Linked DNA regions of Arabidopsis thaliana. The protein of the gene in region 2 interacts with the protein of the main gene of each other region in a biochemical or structural test. Each region holds a gene or a part of one and is shown on either strand. Other genes may lie near its edges. The genes, in order: ZWI and KIPK.

Region 1 (13,081 bases), on a different chromosome or scaffold from region 2:
AAAGATATTTCCGCAGTTCCTTGGTTTGAGGATGTTAAGCTCTGACCAGTTGCTGAGCTTGTCTCCAGCAACTCAGCAAAGACAAGAAACTGCCTACTCATCCAGTCCCAATGGAGAAAAATAAATTCTGTGGATCCGACAACCTTTTCATATGATGTTTTATGTTGATGAAACCATGTCACTGCTTCTATGAGTTTTCCACCATGCAACAAAAGCGTTGATATCTTGAAATGCAATTGCTCAGCTATGATTTTGATCTCGACCAAGCGTTGTATTGCAGGCAACCTAGTCGATGTCCCGATCATCTGTTTGCATAAACAAAATTGCTCGTCGAAATTGAATGTGTGGAAACCGCAGGCAAAGATATGTAATAATAAGAAAGCAATGACCATATATGCATCAAAAGGAACTTCTTGACTAGAAGCAGAATACATATTAGCGTGACAGATGGGTTGGGAAAAAACAAAATACTTAGAGATAATAAAGACCTCGTGCAAGGAATGGTATGCGTCTTCATAAAACTTCAGTGCTTCACCCCAATCTCTACGAAACTCTGCATATACAGCGACCTAGCAGTCATGGCATGAATGAGCCTTCCTTTTCCCAGATACTTTGGAACAAAATGATTAGACTTAGCAGAGGTAACGAGAAAAGCTTACTTTAAAACAGTAGCGAACATTCAAATCAAGAGAATTGGAACTCCTTTTCTCAATTCGGCTTTTGATTCTCCGTCCTTCTTCTCTGTAATAAGAAAGTGCCAACTCTGCAAAAGCAGAAGCGAGTCTGCAAACATACCGTGTTGAGATGCATTGAAGGAAAAGCCTCTTGTTCTAGGTGCAAAGTAAAAGAGGAGAGAAACATACCTGGAGAGAGAGAGCGTGAGTTCAGAGACTATGCTGGAATTGAAGAAGAGCACGTACTTAGAATCTAATTCTGCCCGCTTTCGCAATGCCACCAGACGATCGTCGCTAATGTCCTCTAAAAACAAGTCGGGAAGGAGTAAGTCACCAGTAGTTCCGAGAGGAAAATGAAAAGAATAATCGGATAAAATGCGCTACCGTGGGGAGAAGACTGGACCACGACAACCACCAGTTTGATGTTTTTGGGACGGATTACGGATCTAGCAAGCAATTGAGATCGCAGTGTTAATTTGAGGGTTTGAAACAAAGGAGGGGAAACAAGGAAACAAATATAAAGGGAGATGAGGAAATACTTGAGGCTGTCGAGATCGGAGCAGACCTGTAGCCATTGAGTTGGATCGCCGAAGATGTGATGTGAGGGAAAGAAGGCGGCGACAAGTGCAGGGACCTTGGTGCGATGCTTAAGCAACCAGTCCCGTTTCAAAATACCGCCGCATCTGGAAGGAATGGGAGAAGCAGAATCGGAGACGCTGAGAGGATCTCTGAAGGAGGAGGTTCGGCTGATCTGATCATCATGAGCAAGGAGGAGAGAGATTTGAGAGAAGTCGGGGAAGGCCAGAGCGTTGATGGGAGGCTGCTGGGAGTGGAGATACTTAGTAATGGACGCGTGTAGCTCCGCGTATCCGAAGAGAGCCACCAGACTTACCGGTGGCGTCCTGAGCTCTTCCGGGTATTCCTCCATCTCGCCGGGGAGTGTCTGAGACTCGGACGCGTTGAATCGAGCAAGGAAGGATCTGACACATTCATTTTACGTGGGCTTTTAACGGGCCTTTGGATAAGGGAATGGACTTGTATAGCTGTCAGATTGTTCATCTGGCCCAGAATATGATGTGAAATACTTAATGGGTTTTCAACGGGCCTTTAATCTTTAAGGGTATGAACCACTGCAGTTGTCAGATCTGATTTAAACTAATGTGGTTTCTAAGGATGTAGTATCATCAGGCCCATTATAAGCCCACTTCTTAAAGATGCATCGACTCGTCAAAAAAATAAAATAATACAAAGAATTCGAATTGGTTGCATATACAGAAACATTGGATTTTACAAAATGGAAGAAAGAATTATTGGAAGAGAATGAGAAGCTGTCAAGCGGAGGAGCGGTTGATGAAGTCAATGCAGTCTGCAATTGCATCGGCGTAGAAAGAGTTAGAGCGACGTATAGATGTGTAATCAAGACCGTCTTCTCTGACCAGCGGAGGCCTTCTGCAGCACCAGCTCCTGAGAAGCCTGAAAAAGCTTCTCACTCTCGCACGCAGTCTCTTTGTCTTCTGCCTCAGCCTAATTCCTCTTCCACTCGGCCATCGTATCCTTGCTCTTTCCATCTTTCAACTCTGTTGCATATGCGTCAGATTGTTGAGTTTTCATGTATATGCAAATTATCTATATATCGAGAGGCGAGGGCTTTCATGTCTGACTTTTAGAAGTGGTTGTTGAGAATTTTTGAAGACTTTTTTAATGATTGATCTGGTGCCCACGTGTCATTTTATGCTAGAGGGAGGTGTTGGTTAGTTGGAAAACTAGCTTCCTAACAAAAAAAACACATGTCTAACGTACTCGATAAAAACATATAATCTTCTCATTCATCAAGCATGTTGCAAGAGGGCTTTGAAATTGAGTTTGAAAAGCAAAGTTCCATTTGCTCTATTAACAAAATAAAGCCCATTATTAAAACCAACAGATTACTATAAGGCCCAATATCAACTTCCTAAACTAAGCGGGTGAAGATTTTGTTAGCCATTAGTGGTAATTTCTGATCCCATTGCTGCTCCTCTCTCCGGAGATACAAAGGCGAATCTGACCAGTAAGAAAGATGGCAGTCGAGATGGCCTCTCAGTCTCAGGTCTCTTTCTTGCGTCTTTAATCCGAATCTACGACGATCAATTCTTCGCTCTCTGAATTAATAATATGATCACAGGTTTTGGTGGAAGAGAAATCGAGTGTTAGAATCTTGACACTAAACAGACCAAAGCAGCTGAATGCTCTGTCCTTCCACATGGTATCGAATATTTCCCTTCTTGTACATGCGTACTGTATTGGCTTAGACTCATTTTTTTCTGTAGATCTCTCGATTGCTGCAACTGTTCCTTGCATTTGAGGAGGACCCTAGTGTGAAACTTGTCATCCTAAAGGTAATCATTATCCTTATCTCTTCCGCTTACACACATTTAGTACTGAATAACTTTGCCACAGGGTCATGGGAGAGCCTTTTGTGCTGGTGGCGATGTTGCAGCTGTTGTTCGTGACATCAATCAAGGTTTACCACCCATTCTTTTCTGTTTCTTACTTTCAGCTTTTATACACTCTTTCTCTATCTTCGTTCGTTGACTAGGTAACTGGAGACTCGGTGCCAATTACTTCTCATCTGAATACATGCTCAACTATGTTATGGCCACATATAGCAAAGCTCAGGTCTCGCTATAATTTCGTTTTGTTTTTGTAAAATCACTCCCGAGTGGATAAACTCATCAATTCGTATAGGTTTCAATCTTGAATGGTATCGTCATGGGAGGCGGAGCTGGTGTATCCGTCCATGGTCGATTTCGTATTGCAACTGAGAACACGGTAATCTTTCCTTAAACATGTCCATGGATGACAAATAGGTCGCTCCAAAATATGCTCATATCTTTCGACTTTCTCCAAGGTTTTTGCCATGCCTGAGACAGCTCTGGGGCTCTTTCCAGATGTAGGCGCCTCCTACTTCTTGTCAAGGCTCCCTGGTTTTTTTGGTAACAGAAGCTATATTTCCTTTTTTTGCATCTTCTTAAAGCCACCAAAGTTTGAAAATGCTTTCTTGTCTTTTTTGTTCAGGGGAGTATGTTGGCCTCACAGGAGCTAGATTAGATGGTGCTGAAATGCTTGCTTGTGGCCTTGCAACTCATTTTGTGCCTTCAACGGTATGAACTTCCTTTGCGTGCGTCTATTTCGTAAGACATTCTGAATTGACTTTACACATCAGATATTGTATAGCTACTAGTGTCAAGCACTATCTGCTTCACCAAGGATTGCTACTTAGTTAGGTTTACTCCTTTCCACAGAGGTTGACTGCATTAGAAGCAGATCTTTGCAGAATTAATTCAAATGATCCAACTTTTGCCTCAACAATTCTCGATGCATACACCCAGCATCCGCGCCTGAAACAGCAGAGTGCTTACCGCAGGCAAGTCTATATGATTTTTATCTCTTTTACTCTTTCTACTAGTATGGTTTTACCTGATTACATTTTCTCGGTTATTGACCATGATTATAACACATTTTTTCTATAATTTCAATTTCGTATTGCTGTCAGGTTTTCAATCGCTCTTTACAGAACTCATTTCTCATCTGATCTTTAATTGAAAATTTATAAAAGTGCAGAGGACAGTTATTTTTTATCTCCCCGTTTGTTGCGCAGGTTAGATGTTATTGATAGGTGTTTCTCAAGGAGAACAGTCGAAGAAATTATATCTGCACTTGTAAGCTTTTCATTTATATATAGAGATGTTGACTTGCGATCCTGAGTTGACTGATTTACCTTTGACAACGCACTCTACCATCATATGTGTTGCTTAGGAGAGAGAGGCCACTCAAGAAGCAGATGGTTGGATCTCAGCTACCATTCAAGCATTGAAGAAGGGTTCACCAGCAAGCCTTAAAATCTCTCTTAGATCGGTTAGTTCCCAGAATGTGCATCACAGGCAATGTTGACAAAGAGCTGACTGTGAGTATATATTTCAGATAAGGGAAGGGCGATTGCAGGGGGTGGGGCAGTGTCTTATCCGCGAGTATAGAATGGTGTGTCATGTGATGAAGGGAGAAATCAGCAAAGATTTTGTGGAGGTTTTGCAAGCTTTTTCCATCTGAAACCGTCTTTGTTGTAGACCGTAGTTACAACAGCGTGTCTTTACTTATGCAGGGGTGCAGAGCCATATTGGTAGACAAAGATAAGAACCCAAAGGTTTAACAAGTCTCTCCATTTGTTATTTGTGGTTGGTAATATGTGACATTGTTGATAACAATATCTGAAATTATAGTGGGAGCCAAGGCGACTGGAGGACATGAAGGATAGCATGGTGGAGCAGTACTTCGAGAGAGTGGAACGGGAGGATGATCTAAAGCTTCCGCCAAGGAATAACTTGCCTGCTTTAGGGATCGCAAAGCTGTGAAGTGGAGAAGGTGATGGAGCACTATTGTTTACGTCTGTGGGAAAGAAAAAAGAAAATAAATGTAACAACACTTGTGTTGAATAGGACTTGCATACATTACATAAATCATTATTGTATTTGAGAATTGACACCAAAGCAGCAGAGCAGAATTGTGTTAAGATTTGTTAATGGTGTTGGAGGCACAACCATGGCAAACGGACGTGGAAGCACGTCTATAGTCATTGTTCATTTATTTGATTGAGATTCCTCCTTGGTCTCATCTTCTGAAAACGAAAAATAATTAGAAAATCAGGTGAATCGTGAAGTATTGAATGAGAAGAGGCAATTAAAAATCTCCCGTGACTCTCGTCTCCCCATCTCTCTCTCTCCCTCTGCCCAAATTTCTGGGGCAAATTTGTTCATCAGATCTACTACAATCTCTCTTTTTCTTCGGGTATGGAGGGCCAACGAGGCAGTAATTCTTCGTTGAGCTCTGGCAATGGCACCGAAGTCGCCACCGACGTTTCTTCTTGCTTCTATGTTCCCAATCCCTCTGGAACCGATTTCGATGCCGAGTCGTCTTCTCTTCCTCCTCTGTAAGTCTTCTTTGAATTTTTAAAAACATTCACTCTCTTGCTGCTGTCTCTGTTGATCCTTCTTCTTTGAAAATTTGAAAACATTCTTAGTCTCTCGCTCTGTCACAGCTCCCCAGCTCCTCAAGTGGCATTGTCAATTCCTGCGGAGCTTGCCGCCGCCATTCCCCTCATCGATCGCTTCCAGGTTGAAGCTTTTCTGCGGCTAATGCAGAAACAAATCCAGTCTGCTGGGAAGCGTGGCTTCTTCTATTCCAAAAAGTCCTCTGGCTCCAATGTCCGCGAGCGCTTCACATTTGAGGATATGCTTTGCTTTCAAAAGGTTTTTCTTTCCCCCCCTTTCTTCCCCATTGACAATCCATTGACTGAATATGTCTCTCTCCCCTTCCTTCCTTCAGGATCCAATCCCCACATCTCTCCTCAAGATTAACAGCGATCTCGTCAGCCGTGCTACCAAGTTGTTTCATCTCATCTTAAAATATATGGGTGTTGATTCATCTGATCGATCTACGCCTCCCAGTTTAGATGAACGCATTGACCTCGTTGGAAAGCTCTTCAAAAAAACTTTGAAGCGTGTTGAACTCAGGGACGAACTTTTTGCCCAAATCTCCAAACAGACTAGACATAATCCTGACAGGCAATACTTGATCAAAGCTTGGGAATTGATGTACTTATGTGCCTCCTCTATGCCTCCTAGCAAAGATATCGGTGGATATCTATCTGAGTATATTCATAATGTCGCACACGATGCAACTATTGAACCGGATGCTCAGGTTCTTGCTGTTAACACTTTGAAAGCTTTAAAGCGCTCTATCAAAGCTGGTCCTAGGCACACCACACCTGGTCGTGAAGAAATTGAAGCCCTTTTGACCGGTAGAAAGCTCACAACCATTGTCTTCTTTCTCGATGAAACTTTTGAAGAAATTTCATATGACATGGCTACCACAGTGTCTGATGCTGTTGAGGTATCTTCTTGCTTTCTTTTTTCATAATTTACCGCTGATCATATTCTTGTCCCTTTTTCTCTCACTGCATTGACATCTGTTTCAGGAGCTAGCTGGAACAATTAAACTATCAGCTTTCTCTAGCTTTAGTTTGTTTGAATGTCGTAAAGTTGTTTCAAGTTCTAAATCATCTGATCCCGGAAATGGTATGCTTTCATATGACTGGCTTCGTCATATATTGTGAAGTAATACAACATTATCGATCATTTTTCTATCTGTGCACTTGCAGAGGAATATATAGGATTGGATGATAACAAGTATATTGGAGATCTCCTCGCAGAATTTAAAGCTATTAAAGATCGAAATAAAGGAGAGATACTACACTGCAAACTGGTATTTAAAAAAAAATTATTCCGAGAGTCTGATGAAGCTGTAACAGATCTGATGTTTGTGCAACTTTCGTATGTTCAAGTGAGCATTTTCTTCATTGGTGACATTTATTTCCACACAAAAGGCTTGCCTTTCGTTGCTGACACACATATATGCAGCTGCAACATGACTATTTGCTAGGAAACTATCCTGTTGGGAGGGACGATGCTGCACAGCTTTGTGCCTTGCAAATTCTTGTTGGGATTGGGTTTGTCAATAGTCCAGAGTCATGCATGTTAGTTTTCTTAAGCTCCGCCATTGACTTTATTTTAGTTGTCCGATACTTTATTTTTCCAATTTTCCTCCCTTAACAATATCATTTCCTTTCTCAATGTATCACATATCAGTGATTGGACATCACTTCTTGAGCGGTTTTTGCCAAGACAAATAGCAATAACCCGAGCAAAGCGTGAATGGGAATTGGATATCCTTGCTCGCTACCGTTCAATGGTAGGAATAGTTCTATGCATTTTGATTGTCTTCCCCTTTCTAGATACCTTTGGCAAATAAAAACCCATTGAAGTGATGGCATGGTAAAATGATATTTCGTATGTGTATGTGGGCATGTAGGAGAACGTGACCAAAGATGATGCAAGACAACAATTTCTACGGATACTGAAGGCACTGCCATACGGGAATTCAGTTTTTTTTAGCGTACGCAAGATAGATGATCCGATCGGTCTTTTACCTGGGCGAATCATTTTGGGTATCAACAAACGTGGGGTTAGTCTCAATATAAATGTTATACATTATGACTTTAAAAAAACTGTTATTGTTGTTTGGAATTCAAATCTATGTTGTTGGATTTGAATTTGTTGTTTGCTTTCTTGTAGGTTCACTTTTTTCGACCGGTTCCTAAAGAATATCTGCACTCTGCTGAACTACGTGACATCATGCAATTTGGCAGCAGTAACACTGCTGTCTTTTTCAAAATGAGAGTCGCTGGTGTTCTTCACATATTTCAGTTCGAGACAAAACAGGTTTAAACATCACTATTTGTGGATCATTATATTATGAAGCAATTCCTTATGAGATATTCAATTTGGGTAACTTGTATGTTTGTAGGGAGAAGAAATTTGTGTTGCTTTGCAAACACATATAAATGATGTCATGTTGCGTCGTTACTCCAAAGCTCGATCTGCTGCCAATAGCTTGGTTAATGGAGATATATCTTGTAGTTCTAAGCCGCAAAATTTTGAAGTGTATGAAAAACGTTTGCAAGATTTGTCTAAGGCTTATGAAGAGTCCCAAAAGAAGATTGAGAAGGTACACATTCTAACAAATTTCTTATTTATTCTTCAATGTAAAATTGAATATAATAGAGGGAGGCTGATCTTTGTTTAAATACATGAAATAACTTATTGTAGTTGGATTTTTTCATGGTTTTTATGCTTGGTAGTCTTGAGATATTTCAGTATATATCACCCTCCTATCTTATGTTATTGTATGTAGAATGTTATACCATGACCTCTTTTGTTTTAGAGTGGCATGCTGATGAACTATTCGTATGTTTTATGTTGTTGTATAGTTGATGGATGAACAACAAGAGAAAAATCAGCAAGAAGTTACTCTGCGTGAAGAGTTAGAAGCTATACACAATGGTTTGGAGCTTGAAAGGAGAAAATTGTTGGAGGTTACTTTAGACCGAGATAAACTTAGGTCATTGTGTGACGAGAAGGGAACAACTATTCAAGTTAGTTATAACCTAACTTTTGTCTTTCTTTTGATGCTTGGTTGAAGTTATTTAATGATTTATTCTATATATGCTATAGTCCTTGATGTCTGAACTGCGAGGAATGGAAGCAAGGTTGGCAAAGTCGGGCAACACAAAATCAAGTAAAGAGACAAAATCAGAATTAGCCGAAATGAATAATCAGGTGAATATTATGTGTTTAAATCTAATTCATTGTAATCATTGAGTTGTTGTTTTTTGTTTCCAATTCTGCTTTCCTTTGACAATGAATTTTAAGTCACAGATATTATACAAGATCCAAAAGGAGTTAGAAGTTCGAAATAAGGAATTGCATGTCGCAGTTGATAATTCAAAGAGGTTGTTGAGTGAAAACAAGATATTGGAGCAAAATCTCAATATTGAAAAGAAGAAAAAAGAGGAGGTGAATTCTATGTATTAGATTTATTGAAGATTTCAAATTGAGAAGTATCAAATACTTGCGTATTGTTGACATCTCATTATTTCAGGTTGAAATTCATCAAAAGAGATATGAACAAGAAAAAAAGGTGTTAAAGCTTCGAGTTTCTGAACTTGAAAATAAGCTTGAAGTACTTGCTCAAGACTTGGATAGTGCTGAGTCTACGATTGAAAGTAAGAATTCTGACATGCTGCTGTTGCAAAATAACTTGAAAGAACTTGAGGAGTTAAGAGAAATGAAAGAGGTAATGGTACTCTTTTGTCTTCTTCATTATTTAATTTTGTTTCTGTTTGAATGATGATAATGTATTTTCGCGATTCAAAATTGAAGTAGAGGGATGTGTTTACATTCCAATTTCATTTTCTTAGGACATTGACAGAAAAAATGAGCAAACAGCTGCCATTTTGAAAATGCAAGGAGCCCAACTTGCTGAGCTAGAAATACTTTATAAGGAAGAACAAGTTTTAAGGAAAAGATACTATAATACCATAGAAGGTAACATAATGCTCAAGTATGTACAATGATGTTCATTGCTTTTAAAAAAGAATTTTACTAACATTTTTATTTGATTGTAGATATGAAAGGGAAGATTAGAGTTTATTGTCGAATAAGACCTCTAAATGAAAAAGAGAGTTCAGAGAGGGAAAAACAAATGCTGACAACTGTGGATGAGTTTACTGTTGAACATCCATGGAAAGACGACAAAAGAAAGCAACACATATATGATCGCGTATTTGACATGCGTGCTAGTCAAGATGATATCTTTGAAGACACAAAGGTATTATTGATATGTAACTGTGTTCATTTACCTTTCATCCTTTGTTATTTTCTTGTGGTTACTAACATCGTTTTCCTTTTAACAGTATTTGGTACAGTCGGCTGTAGATGGGTATAACGTTTGCATCTTTGCATATGGTCAAACTGGTTCTGGAAAAACTTTCACTATATATGGGCATGAGAGCAATCCTGGACTCACACCTCGAGCTACAAAGGAACTGTTCAACATATTAAAGCGAGATAGCAAGAGATTTTCATTTTCTCTAAAGGTAATTTGTTATCCTAATAGATGATGTGATAAAAGATTATGACATCAACTGACTACAAAAAGTTATGCAGGCATATATGGTGGAACTTTATCAAGACACACTTGTAGACCTTTTGTTACCAAAAAGTGCAAGACGCTTGAAACTAGAGATTAAAAAAGATTCAAAGGTATTGTGAGATATATCTATTTTAACTAGGTTATAACTAGATTGTAGACACGTAAGTTTGATCTTATGCATAAAATATTTTCTCAGGGAATGGTCTTTGTAGAGAATGTGACAACTATTCCTATATCAACTTTGGAGGAACTGCGAATGATTCTTGAACGGGGATCGGAACGACGACATGTTTCTGGAACAAATATGAATGAAGAAAGCTCAAGATCTCACCTCATATTATCAGTTGTTATTGAAAGTATTGATCTTCAAACCCAGTCTGCTGCGAGGGGCAAGGTGACAAAATTCACTATGTTTTTCTTTATTGACTCATTATCATTTTTCACAGGATTTAGTAGCATTTAGGGATTTTAAGGAAATAGGAGTTTCTTTAGATTTTCATGCTTAGTCTACCGAAGAAAAATATAGTAACATTAATCTTGTTTAAGAGAGATATTATTTTACAGCTCAAATCTTTGGTCTGGTACAAAATGTTAAACCTTTATGTACACAATCCATATTATTAGTCAATGATATGCCCTCCATTGTTAAACCCATATCACCTGATCATGGTGGTATCTTCTACAATATTCTGAATTTTTGTTTGTTATTTGCAGCTGAGTTTTGTGGATCTTGCTGGTTCTGAGAGAGTTAAAAAGTCGGGCTCAGCTGGTTGTCAACTCAAAGAAGCTCAAAGTATCAACAAATCACTTTCTGCATTAGGTGATGTTATTGGTGCTTTATCTTCTGGCAACCAGCATATTCCTTATAGGAATCACAAGCTAACGATGTTGATGAGCGATTCATTGGGCGGCAATGCCAAGACGTTAATGTTTGTTAATGTGTCTCCAGCCGAATCAAATTTGGACGAGACGTACAATTCTCTTCTGTAAGTCATGAGTTCCCATATATATATAACATAAATCAAATATGCTTAGTGTAAAAATGGATAATCCATATTGTTTTTTTTCCTCCTTTGATTCCAGATATGCATCGAGAGTGAGAACGATCGTGAATGATCCCAGCAAACATATATCATCCAAAGAGATGGTGCGATTGAAGAAGTTGGTAGCATACTGGAAAGAGCAAGCCGGTAAAAAAGGTGAGGAAGAAGACTTGGTGGATATTGAGGAAGATCGTACACGAAAAGATGAGGCAGATAGTTGAAGAAAGCTGACATGAAATTCGTCTAGGTGAAATTGAGACTATAGTATCACTGGTTTTCACCATTCTTTTTGTAGGAAGTTCCTGCTTTATAGTAGAGTTTCTATCGAAGAGTAGTCCTATATGTCTCAAACTTTCTCTCTTTTGATGAGATCTTCATTACAAGAAATGAAAAAAAAAAAAAAAAATTCGTAGATATTATATGAAGCTGGTGAGAACCATACAAACATATAAAGATAACCCCATAATGTCAAAAGTTATGGTATACGGAGACTAAAAATTCAAACTTTTAATTTAAGGGAAAACTAGACTATAAATTCCATTTTGTGGATTGGAGAAATAACAAAAATTCACCAGTAAAATTTAAGGATTTACACGCAAGACAAATGTAATCCATACGTTGACATTGGGTGATGTAAAGTTGAAGGACTACTCTAATGCCTAGAAGAAGGAAAAAAAAAAAAAATCTCTTTTTGTTTGACCTTTTTTTTTTTGAATAAAACTTTTTTTCATTCCATGATTTCTCATCTGTCTCGCATTAATACTAATTCAGTGTTCGTTGAAAACGTAACTCAAAAATGTCGAAATTGACACAATGAAGGACTACTTTCACTATGTCTGCAATCTAGACTGTGTATTCCGTACTGAAATTTATATACAAGCAAGAAAGTCTATAAGCACACTTGAACAATGCACACAAAATGAATTTCTTTCAGCTGTTTAGCGTTTTTGTATCTAACCAGAAATGGAAGAAGAAAGAAACGAAAATGAGTATGGTCATCTTCATTTTCTTTCTTTTATTGTTGATGAGTAGTGAAAACTCCACCGATTTTTCTTTTTTTGCTATAATCCTCTTCTTCAAACTGATCACAAACCTTCTCTTCATCAATCCTTCCCATAACCATACAACTATAATTTCTCCGGAGATCCATCTGTCGTTTCATAGCCGTCGTCTCCACCGTGATTTCTCCGCTGCTGGCGCCACGTGTGACAAACCGGCAACGTTCACGTGTTGTCGTGGCCGAATTTAGGGTGAAGCTACGAGGGAGAACGGTGGTTGGTGCTTCGCAGATTTGGAAATTACCGGGTGGTAAGCCAAAAGCGCCGGAGCCACCACCACCGCGGATGAAACCGGCGGAGCATGACGTCATGCTACGTATGTAAGCGTCACGTGCCATGATCAAGAAACGAACCGGAGATTTCACCAACCTTGCTAAATTGCTTTCTTTCTTCATTTCTTTAGCTTTCATGATTTAAAGTGGAATAAAAAAAAGTTGATATAAGAGATTACAGAGAGAGTGAGAGAGAGAGGAGATGCGACTAGAACAGGAAGATGCCGTGTATGATAGACTTCGTTTTAAATGCATTTCAGAAATAATAATTATTAGGGTATGTATATATAAATGTATCTAGTTGGATGTTTACGGTTTGGTGATACTTATCTTATTAAAAATTCACAAAATATTAATCTATAGTTTAATTTACTTTGGTTAAGTCAAAATAAGGTTGAAGTTGTAATCTTAAGGGCCGGCAGTTTTAATTAGTATTAATTTTTTAGAAA
Region 2 (11,738 bases):
AACCGTCGTGGTTCATGCTATATGTGGAAAGTAAAAAGAATTAAGGACGGAAATAAAGGACTGATTGATTCTTAAGTCTTTTTTAATTAACCCGAAAAATAGTTGGTGGAAAAGTCACAAATGTGCCACGTTATTGGATAAGTTGTGGAAAAGTCCACAAATGATGGGTTTTAGATTATTGGGCTTCTTTTCCTGACCTCTTAAGGCCCAAAATAACAAAATTCAAGAAACATGAAGCTTAGTCCTTCGACCCACATGATAACCCATTTGACCATCACATGATTAACAATTCGACTAAAACAACCATAAATTTTGATTTATCAGCAATTATATTTGTAAATAGGTTTATTACTACAATCTGTACGTAATAAGTATCAATCTTTGAAGGAACTAAAATTTACACATTCCCATCCAAGACTATAGGCAGTCACAATAACCCATTTGGATGAATGCTCATTTTTATTTTTAATTGTTCAAATTTCAAAATACTGTGTATAGCTAAAAAATCGAATTAATAAGTGAAGGAGAAAAAATTGGTGGAGTGGATTAGATGCATACAATGACAAAAAAGCCAAGCAAGCCTTTTATGGGGGTGTGGCCTGTCGACACAAACATGTGAAACCTATACTTGTTGCCTTATTCTCTAGCTTGTTCTCTTTCTTTTTATTTTTTTCTTTTACCAAATCTAATTTGATTACCCTATATATCTCATCTTCCTCGGATTCTCATTTCTCAGATCTTAGTTCTTATTGATATTGTTTTGTTTAATAGTAGTTATCAAGAATATACATAACTCGAATCATTTGTCGTTGTGCACCGTTGTTTCTTGTTCGCCGTCCACGCAATAATTATAAACATCCATACCTAAATTTTATATATACACATCATGAAATATTGCGACAAAGACATTTAATCTAGTGGCTCATAGTATTAGTGCAGTCATTGCATCATAACTTGGTATAAATGTTTGAGATACAAAAATAAGTATATATATATATATATAATAGAGTTTAATCCGCGGTACACCGCGAAAATAATTTATTTTTTAAATTAATATATATAAAAGTATGGGTACTTTTTGTATTTTGTACACTATTAATGAAAATTCACATTTTAAAAAATAAAATTGAATGATGGTTCAAATTGATCTTAAACGAAAAAATCTGGGTTCCATCAATCGTTTTTCTTGAAAAGATGCAAAATATTTTTAAAAATCGAATAAAATAATTAGCAGGACCATTGATATATTTAAATATGCGCATGCATATGTTTGTATAATAAAATCTTTTGATGTTGATGGTTGGTTTAAGTTAAATAAGAAATCAGAAGCGGACGTAACACATCTAATTTTTGTGTTAGTTTAGTGTTTACAATATATTTAATGGGGATTAAAAGCATGAGGGAAGAGATTAAAGGCGCAGAAAGAGGAATCCTAGGCTCAAAGGGTTCTCAAAGACCTATCAAGTCTCTATTATTTCCTAACACCACGTTCCAACTGTATGATTTAGGCTTTTTTGCCAGATTCAAAAGTACTTTGTTGTTATTAATCTCGATCATGTATCATTAAGTTATGTTTCTTGATCTTATGGTTACGGTTGTATATTATTTGATTTTTCCTATGCATTTTCCATTAGACTCTATTTGATTTTTCCTATGCATCTTCTATTAGATTCTAGTTCATTCTTTCTTATTTTTTTAATTCATTTGTCTTGGGTGGCTAATGAAGCAATAATGGTTTTTAGTTTTTATTTGAGATATTTGTAATTAATGATGCATATAATTTACTGTTTTACGTGGAAAAACGTATTCTAATTTCTTGTAAATTGCAATCGCATTGTATATTGTACCGAGGAAAAGGATCGATTTGCCTGCGTGTGTATAAGCTTTATCAACGAGATCCAAAGTAATCTATATATGACCCATTGACCTACCATCATACACAAAGTCAACACACCTAAAAATGATTATGATCATGTTAATCTATTACCGCTTCACATACAATTGATAAAACCAAACTAAAACTAAAACTAAATATAAATACTATAAACTAGTTAAGTAACCCACGAAAAAGTCTCGGCTTGGCTATAAAAATGCAGTCACCTTCCACTTTTTATTATCTTTCTGATAGTCATTCTATCAGAAATATTTTATACATTAGACTGATTTGTAGTATTTTCGTCTGCTTAAATTTGAACATATCGTTCGTTAATCATTAATGTTTCCTAAGTTAGTAACAGGCCTAATTCTTAATTGTATGTTCAATACTTTTATCTTATGATCTGATGTCTGAACTTTGAGGTAAAATGGTACTAGTATAGTTCCATAGTTATGAATTTGAAAGACTGATTAAAAATATATATTCAAAATACATATCAATCTACAGTGTTCTTTTTTTGTTTGCTAAATTATATGAATCTACAAAATAAAAACGTTATTTCTTCGAAAGAAGTGTTGTCGAAAAAACATTTTGAAAAGAACTGCGCATTGGCTACCTGTCTTATTCTGACAATATTGCTCCACCGTTATATTTTAAAAGCATTCACATCTATTTTTATCTTCTCACCAATCTTACCTACTACCATGTGTTCGCAGTAAATTAAGACATACGACGATCGAAATACTGTAATTATTTATTTTTATTGATTACACTAAACTAATCTTTTCATCAAGATAATCTTTCTTATGGGATTTCTGATTGTAAAGGGGTTTTTCCTCAATTTTTCCCTATTATTTTTTCAATTTAGTTTTGCCCAAAAAAAAAAAAAGAAACTATTTAATAAAGTTCTATAATATATTATTGATATAATCCGATTGAGTTAGCTCGATTAGAAGAATCATAGATGGCTAGATAAAGACATCTAGTCGACCTCTACTACTCTAGTGATCTAAGATTCAACTGGAGAGCAGTGTTATGACTTTGAAAAAAAAAAAAAAAAAAATCAGCATGATATACAACTTTTATAGATTAGTCACTATTCGATGAATGATGGGAAATTTCTTTGGCAATTTGACTTTGGTCAAATATGTCATGATATTGGTGGAAGTAAATTATTGATCATCAACATTTCCGGGAGGTGAAATCAGTTTTGACATGACAGTATATAATATTAAAATACTTGTTTCTATGAATAAAAACAGCATAAATCCAAATAAAGCTCGAATTATTTAAATAAAAGAACAATAACAATTCAGATAAATTTATGAACAATAATAAAAGAGTTTTGAAATGGAATTAAATATCTTCTGAAGTGAAATATGTAATAAAAATACAGTAGTAATTTTTATTTGTTTTGAGGCATAATAAAATGAGGAAAAAACCCGCAAACATATGCTGTGGGACCCACCATGTTTTTTTTTTCAACTTGATCATCTCTTAACTCTCTCTCATTCACCAGAAAACAAAAATTACACAAAAATCAAAACTTTTACTTTTTATTTCTCCTCTCTGGATCTTCCTCTTCAAAGCTCAAGGCCATTAGGGTTTATCTGAGCTCCAAAATCACCCTAATTCTAGTGTATTTCTCAGCAAGCAAGCTTCTTCTTTTTTTGTCCTGGGTAAGCCTTTGTTCCTTCAATTTATCGCCAGCTTCTTCTTTATCTCTTACCTTTTCTTCTTTGCACGCCTCCATTAGCACTTTATTTATTTTTCTTCTGTAACCCTCTCTTTGATTTGCTTTAATTCATGAGATTTGGGGACCGTATTCAGGGTTTTTTTTGGGTGGGTTTCTCTGATTTTTTTTTCCTTTTTCAGACCTTTCATTATCTCTATGTGGTCACTTAAGGTCTCTGCAGTTTCAATTCAAAAATTTAGTTTAAAAAAAAAAAAAATCTGGGTGTGTGTTCATTAGCTAGCTCCTCTTTGTTCACTCATTGGCTCTCTATGATTTGACATTTAAGATTATTGCTGCATTTAATTGTGCTAAATCGATTCTGCACTCATGCTTCAGCTACTGTTCTTTGTGTCCCTGTAAATTTAAGTTTTTGAGATCTGAAACTATAAGAAATTTTCCGATTTTGGTTCTCATTAGTTGTTAGATCTCTTATCTCACTCGAAGCTTCTTTTTTTACGCGGTTTGATTTATTAATTTCGTTACTTCTCTGTAAATTCTCGATCTTTAGGGTTCTTCTCATCCCCTGGTTTAATAATGGGTCCAATCTCAGTTCTTGTTCACTCTAATTTTACTTTCACAATATCTCCAATTACGCAGATGCTTTTTGACAAATTTTCTCCATTAAAAGTGTCTTCTTTTTTAGCTGTATTAAATTTATAGGTCTCTCTATCTGTACTGGTATAGGGTTCATGATTGAGTCTACAAAAACATAATGAATGACCTAAAAGCTATTAACTTTCGTTTCTAGATCTGCTTGCTTCTCTTTAATATCTTCACCTCATTGCTCTAATAGACATTAATCTCCATTTGAAGTTAGTATTCTTTTACCAGTTTTACTGATTTTTCTTTTTCATTCAGGTAACTGTGATTGTTGCAGGATCTTGTGTAGAAACAGATCACAAGAAGATGAATGATAACTCGGTGGTGCGGCTTTGATTATCTTCAGAGATTTTAGATTCTGTATCCACTCTGTTGCGATGGGGTCGTTTGCAGGCGCTTGTGAGATTGTGGAAGAGAAGGATGATGAAGTAAGATTGCCAAAACATTCCGGGAGATATGGTAAATCGGTTATGGGATCATCAAGTAAGGATTTGGTGGAGCGTAAGCAACGAGAGTATCATGGTTCTCTTGAGTATGACATTGATATGCTTTTTCAGTCTATTTCTGTTAAACCATCTACTACGAGGTTGATGAGTTCTTCTTTCCATCATCATGAGACGAGCGCGAGTGCCGGTCCAAGCAGGACCACAAGCCCTTCGAAGAGAATTGCGTCCATGAAAAAACCAGGGACACCTCAGTCTCCTAGATTTGTTGGTCTCTCTGATTCAGTTTCTTTGAAGCAGGCTCTTAGGGATCGTTGCATTTCTAAGGCGTCGGAAATGGCTGCTCAGAAACGGTTGTCGAAATCTGCTGCTGCATCTCCGAGGGTCTCAGAAGCTGACAGGATAAAGAGTTTGTATAACCAAGTTTCGAATGAATCTACTAGCAGCAGGTCTGGGCTTGTTCCTGTGGACAAGGGTAAAGGAAGTTTGGTTGAGATACCTTTGATGCCTGTAAACGATAAACCAAGCTCTTCAAAGAGCGTACCTCAACGGTTTGAAGATCCTTCTAACCCCATTTCTGAGCCATCTCAAGCTGGAACCAGTTTTGGATTACAAGGAGTGGGGAATCAAACGCGGGAGATTAAGCTGTTGCATAGATCCAACAAACCTGGGTCTTGTCTTAGTTCTGGCAGTGGAGATTATGAGATAGAGTTAGATGAAAATGTTGCGTCTCCTTCCACTCATGCATTTGTTGAAGATGATGTGATAGAAATAGACAAACACGTTACTTCACTGCCATCTCACTCTAGCAAGAAAGTCAATGCGACGGAGCTTGACAAGAATATTTCCTCATCTGCTGTAGACTCAGAGCAGAAAGGGAAGTTGGATGATGCACCTAATTCAGGGACAGAGAATGGCAAAACAGTACGGAAGGTAACAAGAATGATTCCACGTCCCAAACAACCGAAAAAGAAAATTTTGCTTAAGAAGAAGTTAAAAATCGGGGTTGTGTCAGCAACTTACCCAACAAAAGACGATGAAGAAATTGTTCCTTCCTTGGACTCTAGTGCCAATCAACTTCTCTGCCAGAGATGTCACTGTTCGTTGAAGAGCACCAGCATCGATGACAACCCACCTTCATATACTTCTAGTCATAATCCTAAGATTTGCACAGATAGTTTGAGCTCTGTTTCAAATAAAGAAGCTCATCAAGGATCTGACGAGAACTCCTCTGGCTCGTGTAATGTCAGTCAAAGCTCTGAAGCTGACATTGTCATAATGAAACAAGATGTTTCCTCTAGCAATAATAGTGGAATCGGTGCAATGGTAGAAAAAGAAACCGAGAATCCGACTTCCAGTGAGAAATTCGAGTTCTCTCTGAGTTCAAAAGATAGTCTTGGGGATTATAGCAGGAGCACAAGCATTAGTGAGGAGAGTAATCTGAGCCGATTTAGCTGTGGGAATAAGCCTCACATGTCGATGGATGTGAGATGGGAAGCGATTAAGCATATCAAGGTTCAATACGGCTCTTTGGGTTTACGACACTTCAACCTTCTGAAGAAACTTGGTTGTGGAGATATAGGAACAGTCTATCTCGCCGAGCTGATTGGTACAAACTGTTTGTTTGCCATAAAGGTTATGGACAACGAGTTCTTGGCGAGAAGGAAAAAGTCTCCCCGGGCACAAGCAGAAAGAGAAATACTTAAAATGTTGGACCATCCTTTTCTTCCTACATTATACGCGCAATTTACTTCGGATAATTTATCTTGTCTAGTCATGGAATATTGTCCTGGAGGAGATCTTCATGTCCTCAGACAGAAGCAGCTAGGCCGGTGTTTCCCTGAACCTGCAGCAAGGTAAAGATTTACCTTTTCCATTTCGTGTCTAGCTTATTTAATGTACTGAAAATTGATTGTAAAAATTTGTTTCTGTAGATTCTATGTGGCCGAAATTCTCCTTGCACTGGAGTACTTACACATGCTTGGTATCATATACCGAGATCTGAAACCGGAAAACATTCTTGTCCGTGAAGATGGACACATTATGCTTACGGATTTTGACCTCTCACTCCGTTGTGCAGTGAACCCGACTCTTGTCAGGTCAAACTCTCCACCTGGTAAAGATCCCGCAAGGATTTCAGGTCCATACAACACATCCAACTGCATACAACCATTCTGTATCACCGAACCATCTTGCCAGGTTTCGTGTTTCAGCCCTAGGCTCTCCTCAAACCAACAACAAGGTAGAAAACCAAAAAGGGGTGATCATCTTTCGAAAACCCAACAACACTTGAGTAGATCATTGCCTCAGCTCGTGGCTGAACCAACCGAAGCAAGATCCAATTCCTTTGTGGGAACACACGAGTACCTAGCCCCAGAGATCATCAAAGGAGAAGGACATGGCGCTGCAGTTGACTGGTGGACTTTCGGGGTTCTCCTTTACGAGCTTTTATACGGGAAAACACCATTCAAAGGTTACAACAACGACGAGACTTTGGCCAATGTTGTGTTACAGAACCTCAAGTTTCCTGATAGCCCGCTTGTAAGCTTCCAGGCAAAAGACTTGATCAGGGGACTTCTTGTTAAGGAACCAGAGAACAGGCTCGGGTCAGAGAAAGGTTCTGTAGAGATCAAAAGACATCCTTTTTTTGAAGGATTGAATTGGGCTCTGATCCGGTGTGCAATCCCGCCTGAGCTACCGGATTTCTATGAGTATGGTGGTGGACCAGAGGCAGCGGCGGATTCGCCTGGAGGCAGTAATAATAGGTATCTTGAATGTAAAGCCATAGGCGATCATCTTGAGTTCGAGTTGTTTTAAGCAAGACATAGATATTCTCTGGTATAAGCATTCAGAGTAATCGTTGTTGTAAGTTATTATATCTAAGTTAAATCTAAATGTCTTATATGTAAATTTAGCGTTCTCTGAGACATAATCTGATATAGTATTCTCAAAAATATATATGCTCCTTCGTATCTCAATTTTTAAATATATGATCAAACATTACAATCTTAGTAGACACTAATCTACAAAACCAAAAGATTACAAACACTTTTCTTCAATGAAAGACTTGAGTTGAGATTCCCATCTGATGAAGAACACTTGACGTCGAAGAAGCTGACCTCAAAGCCTCAGCTAATGGTCCACCCATATTGTGGTGGTTCCCTACATTGCTCCACCAATTCAATTGCTCCCTCTCATTGTTGTTGTTTCTCAGGTTCTCTTCTTCTTTTTCTTCTTCATTGCTTGTTGAAAGTTTTAGAGAAACATCTGAGGAAGCGTTACTATTACCGGGCACGGAGATTGAGATATGACAAGTGGATGAGCTCATTGGACTGGAGGTAGAGCCCAATGATGATTCGCCTAGCCCGCCTAAACCCGCCTAATGACCGTGTAATCCACTTAATGTCTGCATAGTCCGCCAAATCTTCCTCACCGCCTAATAGAATCGATTTTAAGAAAGTCGAAGCGGTACATGAACGCCTAGCACCTAGGGGATGCCTAGACGGCTGCGTAACCCGCTTTCTTGAATACCGCCTAGTTGTAATTGCACATTTTTGGGTGTATATCAATTTTTTTCCAGCAAAATTAGGCAGTTGCACCTATCACCTATGTCTCACCCTACTGGGCCGGGCCTGAATAATTTATGTTACAAAGATTGCAATTTGCAAACATTAAAAGAAGAAAAGCCCAAAAAGGACATCTTTGATCATCAGATTGGCTCCACTTTAATTACGAAATTGATTTCTTTATTTTTCCTTTTTTACTTTTCCTTTTGGCGGGACTGCTTGCTTTGATTTTGGAATGATGTAAAAGCAAAGCAATTATGTTTGGGAAGGTTTAAGCAAAAGCAAAAGACAAGTGAAAGTAAATAAATAGATATTGAGAGAGACATAGAGACTGTTGTAACAAGAAAAAAAAATGAGTAGCAAGAATAACTCCGGAGCTGCTGCAGTTTCTGGAGTCAACACCAACGGTAAGCTACCAATGGAGGACAATGAAGAAGAAGAGATATGGAAAGTTGCAGTGACGAGGTTTCAAGCCCGAGAAGAAGAGATCGAGAGGAAGAAGATGACTGTTAAGGAAAAAGTTCAACAGCGGCTCGGTTTTGCAGAGGAAGCTACAAGATGCTTAACTCAAACATTGGAAGTAAGTTTATAAAAAGCCTTTTGTGTAACATGGTAGACAACAAAGCTAATAATGTTCTTACTAAAACAGGAGCTAGAGATTATGGGAGATCCTATGAGAAAAGAAGTTGGTATGGTGAGGAAGAAAATCGACATGGCGAATCGAGATATCAAATCTTTGGCACAAAGCTGTCAGAAAAAGGTATTACACATTTTCATTTTCAGGAAAAGCTGGCAGCTTTGTTTTAACACAAGAGGATAATTTGACAGGAGAAGGAATACAAAGACACATTGGAAGCTTTCAATGAAAAGAACAAAGAGAAAGCTCACCTTGTTTCCATGTTAATGGAGGTATTTAGTCTAAACCACTTAAAAGCTTTGTAAAATTTCTACTGAAGATCCAATGTGTGATTTGTGACGATGATTTTCTTTTGGCAGCTACTGGCTGAAAGTGAAAGATTAAGGATAAAGAAACTGGAGGAAATCAACAAGACTGTTGGAACCTTGCAATGAGGAGAAGCAATCTACATGGATCTTACCTTAAAAGAGAGTGAAAATTTGTTTAAGTTTTTGGTATTACACTCTATCCAGGTCCTCCTATTAAAAGTGAGCTACGATGTAACAGGATGTACGATAAATGAATGGTGCTAAGGTTTAAAGATATGAATGCAGCGAAAAACGAATTTCTTAAAAGATGCAAGATGTCTTTGTACACATAGATAATGTCAAAACAAATCAAGCATCATTATATTCATATATCCGAAACTAGCGGCTTCCCTATTTTGTCATTACCCGTTTCCTTTTACTCTGCTGGCTCAGTGTTTACATACCTGTTCGCGTAATCTAAATACTCCTGCAAGTAACAAACAATCAAACATAAAAATTATCAAGAAGGAAATACAAGAACAGATTCCATTGGTCTTTAAATGAATATTAGTAACCTTACCTGAAGTATAACTACTGCGGCTAACTTGTCCAACATTGTCTTCTCTTGAACAGGATGCAAATTCAAGGGCTTCAACATCAGTTCAACGGTCTGTTGACAGTATTACATGAGATTCAAGGGATATTAAACTTAACACCTATCTTTACTGTGACTTACAAGATCTTTAAATCTGAAAAATATATACCTTTGATGATAATCGCTCGTCCCAATATGTGTATTTCACATCCTTGAGTTTTTCGGTCTTACGAAGTTCCTCAATGAAAAGATTCACAGTGACAACCTGTTCCAAGTTTAAAAATCCTTTTCGGTTATATGAGCTAATGTAGAGGAAAAGTACTTCACAATTCAGTCGAAACAAAAAAAAAAACTTACATCCTCTACATTGTTCAGTTTGCCAAATGGATAACCAACGACTAATCCCGACACAGAAAATGCTTTGACCTGCATAAGACAACAAAAGGCAAATGATTGATGTAATCAAACAGAGTTCATAAGTCTACTTGTTGATAGATCTCTACTACGTCAAGGACTTAACAGTAAACACTAACTGAATAAACCTTGATCCTTTAATCACCAGTAAGGCAGTAATCACAAAAAGCCGAGGGTGAAAGTAGACACTAATCTACTACACTAACAAACTTTCTTCTTCATTACCAAAACAAACGATAGTTTCTTCATTCCTTATCTTAGTAAACACTAATCTACACTAGCAACCTTTTTTCTTTGTTTTAAAAAACACTAAGAAATGATAGTTTCTCCATTTCTTAACAAGAACTAAAATCTGTGTATTTGTTTAAGGTCTCCTTTAAATCTAGAGCTAAAAAGTAAAGGAACGATCAAACTTATAGCACCTACCAGGTTCTGGAAATCTGTAGCCATCAGGTCAATGTTTGATTTCTTTCTGAGCAAAACACTGCAAGAGAAGTAACAGGTTTTCAATAGCGATGATGGTGACAAAATTGATCAGAGAGGATTTGCATTTTTGAAAATTACTGTTAAACAAATGTTGTAGCATGTAGACACTGAATCAAAGGTACCTCAATGGAGAAGCAACCATATTTGAAGGATCTGAGATAGCTAATCCAACATACTTATCACCAACATCTAAACCCAGAAACCGACCAGGGACTGACACTTTGGTCTTCAGCGCATTACCCAATAAGCTCAATGGCTTCACATACTTCATTTCCTGATCAAAAGTAAGTGAATCAAACTTCCAAAACACTTGTTCAAATCAAGACTAAAAATTCACATATCAATTGCATAAATTTGAGAATTATTGTACAAAAAAAACTTTAATCAGACCATCAAACAAACATTTCGAAAAAGGGTTTTAGAAATTAATCAGAAAGTTTAAATCTTGACGTACTTTAAAGGCGGAAACTTTCTGGCTCCGGAGCACGGAATCTGGCGAGAGGAAACGACAAATGGTTCTGCTAAATGTCTTCGCGATTGAAGCAAGCAAGCACAAACCCCAAGATTGTGAATTAGAGATGGACCGGAAAAGGTTTATTCCGGTTAAGTTCGAGACTTCACCGTCTAATCAATCTATACGATGCCGGTGATTATCAGGGTTTTGGTTTTACATTATACCGGGAACCGGTTAATTCGAGGTGGTTTAACTGGTTTCCCAAAATTGATTCGGTTTAGCTTAAGTGAAAAGCTCAAGTAACCACCTCTCCTGTACTTACTTGCAGGCAGAGGATCATATTAGTTTCATTGCTTATACAAAATTGTCAAGCTTTAAACATAAATATAATAGCAGAGTAAGGAACAAAACAATTCCAAAAGCAGAACTCACAATTCCAAAAGAAGACAAATTCAAAGATTATTTTCTGCAGAAAATAAAGATTCAAAGAGCACAAACCAAAAAGATTACAAACACTTTTCTTTAATGAAAAACTTGAGTAGAGATTCCCATCTGATGAAGAACACTTGACGTCGAAGAAGCTGACCTCAAAGCCTCAGCTAATGGTCCTCCCATATTGTTGTGGTGATTCCCTCCATTGCTCCA

What was found.
Region 1: the proteins of KIPK (region 2) and ZWI form a complex in vitro, tested with the Arabidopsis thaliana proteins (one study listed by BioGRID).

What each region holds. Positions count from the first base shown.
Region 1 is NC_003076.8:26,368,811-26,381,891, reverse strand, and holds ZWI (kinesin-like calmodulin-binding protein (ZWICHEL)), read left to right. Parts: upstream 1-5,444; 5' UTR 5,445-5,497; coding exon 5,498-5,637; intron 5,638-5,727; coding exon 5,728-5,956; intron 5,957-6,032; coding exon 6,033-6,599; intron 6,600-6,684; coding exon 6,685-6,784; intron 6,785-6,867; coding exon 6,868-7,049; intron 7,050-7,126; coding exon 7,127-7,242; intron 7,243-7,354; coding exon 7,355-7,457; intron 7,458-7,577; coding exon 7,578-7,730; intron 7,731-7,840; coding exon 7,841-7,987; intron 7,988-8,072; coding exon 8,073-8,273; intron 8,274-8,535; coding exon 8,536-8,700; intron 8,701-8,779; coding exon 8,780-8,884; intron 8,885-8,983; coding exon 8,984-9,121; intron 9,122-9,206; coding exon 9,207-9,401; intron 9,402-9,525; coding exon 9,526-9,652; intron 9,653-9,732; coding exon 9,733-9,935; intron 9,936-10,020; coding exon 10,021-10,203; intron 10,204-10,273; coding exon 10,274-10,369; intron 10,370-10,455; coding exon 10,456-10,653; intron 10,654-10,973; and 7 more. Other genes in the region: AT5G65950 (trafficking protein particle complex subunit-like protein), read right to left, coding at 1-305, 489-569, 660-783, 864-978, 1,059-1,120, 1,214-1,602; CHY1 (beta-hydroxyisobutyryl-CoA hydrolase 1), read left to right, coding at 2,731-2,760, 2,836-2,916, 2,981-3,049, 3,111-3,174, 3,250-3,329, 3,399-3,482, 3,562-3,646, 3,729-3,814 and 6 more; AT5G65925 (uncharacterized protein), read right to left, coding at 12,318-12,770. UniProt on the Arabidopsis thaliana protein: Minus-end microtubule-dependent motor protein involved in the regulation of cell division and trichome morphogenesis through microtubules bundling. Possesses basal and microtubule-stimulated ATPase activities.
Region 2 is NC_003074.8:19,604,562-19,616,299, forward strand, and holds KIPK (KCBP-interacting protein kinase), read left to right. Parts: upstream 1-3,335; 5' UTR 3,336-3,555; exon of another isoform or gene 3,556-4,469; 5' UTR 4,470-4,588; coding exon 4,589-6,510; intron 6,511-6,588; coding exon 6,589-7,471; 3' UTR 7,472-7,656; downstream 7,657-11,738. Other genes in the region: AT3G52900 (RAB6-interacting golgin (DUF662)), read left to right, coding at 8,573-8,800, 8,870-8,980, 9,049-9,129, 9,217-9,291; AT3G52905 (Polynucleotidyl transferase, ribonuclease H-like superfamily protein), read right to left, coding at 9,581-9,631, 9,725-9,814, 9,909-10,004, 10,097-10,165, 10,580-10,637, 10,762-10,910; GRF4 (growth-regulating factor 4), read right to left, coding at 11,616-11,738. UniProt on the Arabidopsis thaliana protein: Could be involved in the negative regulation of root growth.